2 linked regions of the Arabidopsis thaliana genome follow. The protein of the gene in region 2 interacts with the protein of the main gene of each other region in a biochemical or structural test. Each region holds a gene or a part of one and is shown on either strand. Other genes may lie near its edges.

Region 1 (3,755 bases), about 21 Mb from region 2:
GAGGTACAAAAACAAAGGAGCATATATTATTTTGCAGGCGCCTGATTTCTCGGATCCTCAATTTCATAGTTTCGAAGCTGTTAAACCGCGACCAAAGGTAACTAACTTACGATGCTGATAATGAACCAACGAGTTGTTTTACTTCTTTGATACACATACATAGCGACATCGGTTTTTAAATGTGCAGGCGCATCCATATTATGACTTTGAAAATGTCATTGATTCTGATGATGAGATGGATAAGTCAGCAATGGACACCAATAACGAACAACCAAATAGCTGACCGAAGCTGAAAAGGAGTATCTTGAATTGATGTTTTTTACAGTTGTTGTGATTGCTCATTATTTGCAAACATAAAATGGAATCAAATGTAAAGAAAAGAGATGAAGAAAATCATTTGTAGAATTCACATTTAAGTTATGTATGGAAGATGAAGAAATAAGAACCATCTTAAATCTCATGTAGTTCTTAGTTTCTTGGTTCCTACACGTCTTATTTAAACCTAAATCTTGTAAGATTTTGCTCTGTTTTGTCAGGTTAGCCTAAATCTTGAGAGGTCAAACTTGCAGTAACTTTCATTGTATAGAATTGCTTTTAACTGAATGATAAATCGAGTAGTAGATTAGTCCAATGGAAGTTTGTGGATCAAGTTATGTGTCTGTCGGCATTATAGTTTTCCTTTGAAATATTGACACATTACTAGAATCTTATCCAACAAAAAATTGTGTGGTTATGAAAATCCTAAGTAACGAGACAGCTTATTAAATGCCGAATTTGGTAGCAATTTGTTCAGATGAATGTATGTCTTCTTGTAAAAGACAGTATGAAGTGGAGGTTGATGCTAACTATCTTATGGTTCCTTATTGCACTTTGAAGCATTTATTGCAATTGTTTTCGGTTTTTTCTCTTGAGTGGGCTAAACTAATAATGGTCTGTTCTTTCTCTAAAGAGAGAAGAATTCGACAGGAGCGTGAAGCATCTTCATTCGCAAATATAACACATTAAAGCTACCTCTAGCATCATCTGTGTGATTCTCTCCAAGGTCATTCGTTGTCTGTCACGGGGCATCTCAAGTAATAAAGCTTAAAGTTAACTGTCTTTTCAGCCAAATAGTTTCATCATCTAAATATTCACATGATCTTCCATATTTCATCACCGATTATGGTTACAACATTTTTGCAAACCCTAAAATTTGTGTTATCGCCAAACTTGACCCTTATACCGGAACCCATGTGGGTGGGTGTTGATTTTTACTGTTTTGTAATTTGTTCATCGACAATCATTGACATGTACTCACCGCAATGTTTTTTCTTTCCTAGTTTCATGTGCATATATGTCTCTAAACAGTAATTGTTTAGCACTTCATGTCAAGCTTAAATTATTATAGGTGTCTTATCTTGTCTCTCTAGTATTTTCTGTTGAAGTCATGTGCATTAAATTGTATATAGTACTTCCAATGGCTTTCATATAATTTCCATTTTTCCACAAATTGTTCGTAATGATGTTTATTTAACAAGATTATAAAAGATAATGCAACAAATTTGTGTGATGAATGATGAGATGAACCCATTTGAAAGAGGTCGCAACAAATGTCAACATTAGAGACCATCTTGATCTAGAGTTTTGTCTCGTTGACTTTAATGCCAAAATTGGACAATACATATAATGCATGTATCAGGCAATGCAAAAATATCTTCATTCATTTAATTTTCTTACTATAATAGATGTCACAACTTCCCTCACTGACAAGCATATAATGTTGGTTTTATCTCAATGTAAACAACCTTTTAGTTTCACATAAATGTTAGGTCGAGCGAGGTGATATATTCGTTCCAGATCGGATGAAACAAGTAATTCATCGATGTTACCTTTATCCATATGTATATGTAAGATTATGGGTTTTAGGTAATCTAGTAAGTACTACTAAGTAGTATCCGTATGTAATTTTTTATTTATTTTTATCCGTTATGTATAATTTCTTTGGCCGTTTTCGCAAAATCTATATTTGGATGTTTTAGATCGTGAATTGATATATCTTAATTTGAATATTTAGGTATTCATATATTTTGAATCTATAGTTGACCTGTTGACCATGTATTTTGATTTGAATATCTCGCTCGATCGATAGAAGATTTTTTTTTGTTTTTGTTTTGTTGATAGTAGAATCTTCAAGTTGTAATTTAACAAAAAAAAAAAAAATCAAGTTGTAAGTAGACCGTATATCTGTATATTTCCATATGTAGAACCATGCATTTTGAATAATTGAATAAAATAACATGTAGCAAGACGTATCTTCATATGATAATCAGAATCATAATAAAAAGACAAACTGTACACCATATTGTAATCCAGGTTTAATTTGACCTCTTTGAAAAACTAAAATAGCTGAACTGAATATTTATAACTAAAAAGACAAATTGGATATGTCACTTTGGACTATGAAACTCAGAATTTTTTTTGACTAACGTGTATACTTTCACACGTGTGCATGACTAAAAACATATGATTAGGCTCTTACGATCTATGCGCCTTACACCTGTGAATGATGAACACATAAAACACAAGTTACGATCTAGAATGTCATGTGTACTGGCTTAAATCTACTTATGTGAAGAGGTAAATGAAATGGTCAAGAAACAAAAAAAAAAAGAAATGGTGAAATTATGAAAGTATAAAACTTTACCGGTGAGGTCCGTATTTGGATTTATTAAGTGAAGAGGGACCCTTTTGCAATTAAAGCCTGTACGACAAAAAAGAGATTTACTGTACGGTTAAAACAAAAAATAAAAAAACCAGCAAAAGTAAAAAAGTCAAAAAGCAGATATATGACATGTGCAAATCTCCATCGCGCCTTTATTACCATCTACCGCTTTCTCTCTCTGTCTTTCCTTGTTCAACCCTCGAGAGATTACGGATAGTGAAAGAGAAGCTACAAAATTTCCCAATTTATCAAAAAATAGAAATTTCTTACTTTTTTCAAAATTCATTTCTCCCCAAAAAAAATATCTTGTGAAAACTGCAACTGTGATCCATGGCGGAGGATATGGCTGCCGACGAAGTTACGGCTCCTCCTCGTAAGGTTCTTATCATCTCCGCTGGTGCTAGCCACTCCGTCGCTCTTCTCTGTACGTCTCTCTTCTTCTTCGCTGTTTTTTTTCCTTTTCTATTACGGACTCAAATAATCACCGGAATTGTGAAATCCGCTGCTTTAGTAGGCTGTGCTCTTCGCGAATTCTCTTGATCTGGCCTTTAATCGAGTTTCCCTTACTTTCGTCGTCTACTAATGAGTAGTTTTATGTTTTGATTTTGTAGCTGGTGACATTGTTTGTTCTTGGGGTCGAGGAGAGGATGGACAGTTAGGTCATGGCGATGCAGAGGATCGACCTTCTCCGACTCAGCTTAGCGCTTTAGATGGCCACCAAATTGTTTCCGTTACCTGTGGTGCTGATCACACTGTTGCTTATTCACAATCAGGCATGGAAGTCTACAGTTGGGGATGGTTTGTTTCTCATCATTATCTTCTTCTTTGCTGCTGAATCAATTGCTCTTCAGTCTGTTTGATATATTCGGGATGAGATGATGACCACTAGTTCCTCTCTAGATTTTTGTGTAGAAAACAGTAACTAATTATACACTCATTTGCACATATTTTAAGCCTCGTGTTCTCTAACCTTTATGTGTACTTTGCAGGGGTGATTTTGGGAGATTAGGCCATGGTAACTCAAGCGACTTGTTTACTCCGCTACCAATCAAAG
Region 2 (3,755 bases):
AAAGGCGAGCCAAACATCTCATACATCTGCTCCCGTTACTATCGAGCACCTGAACTTATATTTGGAGCTACAGAATATACAACAACAATTGACATATGGTCTGCAGGCTGTGTTCTTGCTGAATTGCTTCTGGGACAGGTAATATGACTGTCCAAACTTTCCTCCATTTATCTTTTACAAATGATTTGATTTACCGAATGATGTCTAAAGTTATATATTACCAATCTTTGGCTTGTCCAACTTTTGGTTAGCCTCTATTTCCAGGTGAGAGTGGAGTTGACCAGCTAGTTGAGATAATAAAGGTACTTCAATTTGGTTAAACAAACACACATAATCCTAGCCATTGCTATATTGAACATAGAGTGGATCATTGATTATATGGAATGAAGAGGCTCCATTTCCTGCTATTGATTGCCATCATTTTGTTTACTGTGTGTGTTACAGGTTCTTGGAACACCAACACGGGAGGAAATCAAATGCATGAATCCAAACTACACAGAATTCAAATTCCCGCAAATAAAGGCTCATCCTTGGCACAAAGTAAGCAAACACATCATCAGTTTTTCCTTAACATTGATCTCCATATATTCTTACGATTGAAAAATCTGTTGTTGGTTCTTAAGATATTCCATAAGCGTACACCTCCAGAAGCTGTAGACCTTGTCTCAAGACTTCTCCAGTATTCTCCAAACCTCAGATCAACCGCTGTAAGTCAATGAAGTGATTACCATAATAACATTATGTTTGATATATCTGGTTGGTTGATTCAAACTTACTTGTTATTGTAGATGGAGGCGATAGTTCACCCGTTCTTCGATGAGCTACGTGATCCCAATACACGTCTTCCTAATGGTCGTGCCTTGCCTCCTCTCTTCAACTTTAAACCTCAAGGTCTGTCTCCTCCAAATATGCTTTTGTTTGTTTCCCAATGCTCCGTTTTAACAAAGACTAAAAGTGTGTGCTTCTTGTTAAATATGTAGAGCTAAAAGGAGCAAGTTTAGAGTTGTTGTCCAAGCTTATACCTGACCACGCCCGAAAACAATGTTCCTTCCTCGCTCTCTAAATCTCTTCCTCTCTCTCTATATATATGTGTGTGTGTGTGTATGTACACATGCATATAATATGCTTATCGTTTCTAAGTAATGGAGATAGCTTCTCAGGATTATCATTAGCTTTCATCTTTCATGTATCTTTGTTGTTTATTGTCTTATCACAACCTTTGTACTTTATTACATACAATGATTAGTGTAATGTATGTGACGGTCTTTGACTCGCCGGTCGCTACAGTTATGTTGGATACTAAATTATAAAATAAACTTCTCGCTCGTCACGTGTCATTGCATGCATCCAAAGCTCATGCTTCAAAGCTTAGCCAAACTTATTTTTAAAAAAGCCTATGTTCTGTGTAAAAGTGTCATTTACGAGAGTTTCTTGTTTAAGTTTAACCAATTTCACTTCCTCAAACGAAATACGGTAATTGGTAATATCCTCTAAACATGAATTATCATTGACTATAAAAATTAGTTTCGCAAATTGCCTCTAAGCACCACAAGTGTCACGTAACGTGTCATTTATTCATGTTTATTGATTTAGTTAATTAAAAACATTGTAGTTTAATTATTGAAGTAGTACAAAGAATAGGGACTAAATTGCAATACTCTGAATTTGTTTTTTTCTTTTTTAGAATCATCCGACTTTTTGTTTCACGGTTTCCTCCTCCAGTAAACTGACGACGATACAAGCTCTCTCACCAACGGCGACAGTATCTTTGCCGGCGGCGGGAGCGCTTCTGCTTAATCTGTAGCTCAAACTAAAAATTCTCTGGGTATTACTCATGGTGATTTGGAATAACGATGATGATGATTTTTTGGAGATTGATAACTTTCAATCTTCTCCACGGTCATCTCCAATACATGCAATGCAGTGTAGGGTCGAAAATCTAGCTGGTGTAGCCGTGGTAAGTGATCCAATCCAACAGTCATAAGTTTATGCCTAAGCAGAATCATTGCTTATGTGAATTTTTGTTTTGTTTCAGACAACTAGTTCTTTGAGCTCTCCTACTGAGACAACTGATTTAGTTCAGATGGGCTTCTCAGACGAGGTTTTTGCTACATTGTTTGACATGGGATTTCCTGTTGAGATGATTTCTAGAGCGATCAAGGAAACTGGTGAGGCTTTTTTCTCTTGTTTGTATTCCTTTCTGGATATATATGATCCGTAACTTGATACCAATAATTATACAGGACCAAATGTAGAAACTTCGGTTATAATTGATACTATCTCCAAATACTCAGTGAGTTTCTAATACTTTGATCTCTTGGGTTGCTTGTCATTTACATGTGCTTCTGTCATCACAGTATTCATATCCTCTCCTTTGTTTATTTGTGAAGAGCGACTGTGAAGCTGGTTCTTCCAAGTCCAAGGCTATTGATCATTTCCTTGCTATGGGATTTGATGAAGAAAAAGTTGTCAAAGCCATTCAAGAACATGGTACTTACAGATTTCTCTCCTCCTTAAGTAAGAAGTAACACTTTATCACTTTGCTGATATTTGCTTTATAAATCGCAGGAGAAGACAATATGGAAGCAATTGCAAATGCATTGCTCTCTTGTCCAGTAAGCGATGTTACGAAAATATACTGTCTCTTGACATTAAAAAAATAGTACTTAAAGTTCGTTGATGGTTTGTAGGAGGCTAAGAAACTGCCAGCAGCAGTAGAGGAAGAAGATGGCATTGACTGGTCATCAAGTGATGATGATACCAATTACACCGATATGTTAAACTCAGATGATGAGGTATAACTCTTTCATGTTGGTGATAACATATTTAAGCATCCCAGGTTTGAATTGTAAATGTATCTCACTGCTATTTTGTATATGTATCTAATTTTATGCGTTCTTAATCTATTTTAAATCATGACAGAAAGATCCAAACTCAAATGAAAATGGCAGCAAAATACGGTCTTTGGTGAAGATGGGTTTCTCAGAGCTTGAAGCTTCTTTAGCTGTCGAGAGATGTGGTAACTTTATTTTAAACGATTGCCATTGTCATTAAATTTTAGTTCCGTTTTGTTCAGGTTTCTTCTAGACAACGTCGTATAAATTGCTTGGTTTAGCCTCTGATTTAGTGGTGTAGGCCTTAGATGTGTTTGCTGAGCATTTTGATTGTATTTCACTAATCGAAAGTTGTCATTAGTTCTGTCTTAGCTTCTGGTTCTGTGATGTACGCCTTAGATATGTTTGTAGAGAATGTGATCGTATTTCACAAAATGATAAAAGTTGTCAGTACTTGATAAAATTGTATGTTCACTAGTTCCTTTTTATTCAGGTTTCTTCTAGAGGAAGTGGCATAAGCCAAATTGCTTAGTTTTAGTGTAATGTGATAGTCAAATTGTGGCTTTAGCCTCTGGTTCTGTGATTTAGGCTTGAAATGTGTTTGCTGAGCATTGTGATTGTATTTCACTAAATGATACAGTTGTCAGATGTTAATATATATCTCTTACTTACTCTAAGTATGTTGCTGCCTTATCCAGACTCATATGATTGTAATTTCAGGAGAAAATGTGGATATTGCAGAGCTCACAGACTTCCTTTGTGCTGCTCAAATGGCTAGGGAATTTAGTGAGTTTTACACTGAACATGAAGAACAAAAGGTACTGTTAAAACCTTTTTTATAATCTATCTTTTGTAAGTTAATTCCTTTGGGAACTGATTATTTTGGGAAATTTGGTGTATGCAGCCTAGACATAATATTAA

The links. Proteins that work in one complex are often made in the same cells at the same time.
Region 1: the proteins of DRM2 (region 2) and UVR8 form a complex in vitro, tested with the Arabidopsis thaliana proteins (one study listed by BioGRID).

The regions. Positions count from the first base shown.
Region 1 is NC_003076.8:25,557,864-25,561,618, reverse strand, and holds the start of UVR8 (Regulator of chromosome condensation (RCC1) family protein), read left to right. Parts: upstream 1-2,119; 5' UTR 2,120-2,203; intron 2,204-2,634; 5' UTR 2,635-3,031; coding exon 3,032-3,125; intron 3,126-3,312; coding exon 3,313-3,499; intron 3,500-3,690; coding exon 3,691-3,755. Other genes in the region: PP7 (serine/threonine phosphatase 7), read left to right, coding at 1-97, 188-283. UniProt on the Arabidopsis thaliana protein: UV-B specific signaling component that acts as a UV-B photoreceptor and plays a key role in establishing UV-protective responses in plants.
Region 2 is NC_003076.8:4,716,658-4,720,412, reverse strand, and holds the start of DRM2 (domains rearranged methyltransferase 2), read left to right. Parts: upstream 1-1,708; 5' UTR 1,709-1,834; coding exon 1,835-1,957; intron 1,958-2,035; coding exon 2,036-2,168; intron 2,169-2,243; coding exon 2,244-2,293; intron 2,294-2,390; coding exon 2,391-2,490; intron 2,491-2,568; coding exon 2,569-2,615; intron 2,616-2,690; coding exon 2,691-2,795; intron 2,796-2,922; coding exon 2,923-3,019; intron 3,020-3,554; coding exon 3,555-3,652; intron 3,653-3,738; coding exon 3,739-3,755. Other genes in the region: SK13 (shaggy-like kinase 13), read left to right, coding at 1-138, 252-302, 445-540, 624-707, 789-891, 981-1,063. UniProt on the Arabidopsis thaliana protein: Involved in de novo DNA methylation. Controls asymmetric and CpNpG methylation. Required for FWA gene silencing but not for the maintenance of SUP gene silencing. Functionally redundant to CMT3 to maintain non-CpG methylation.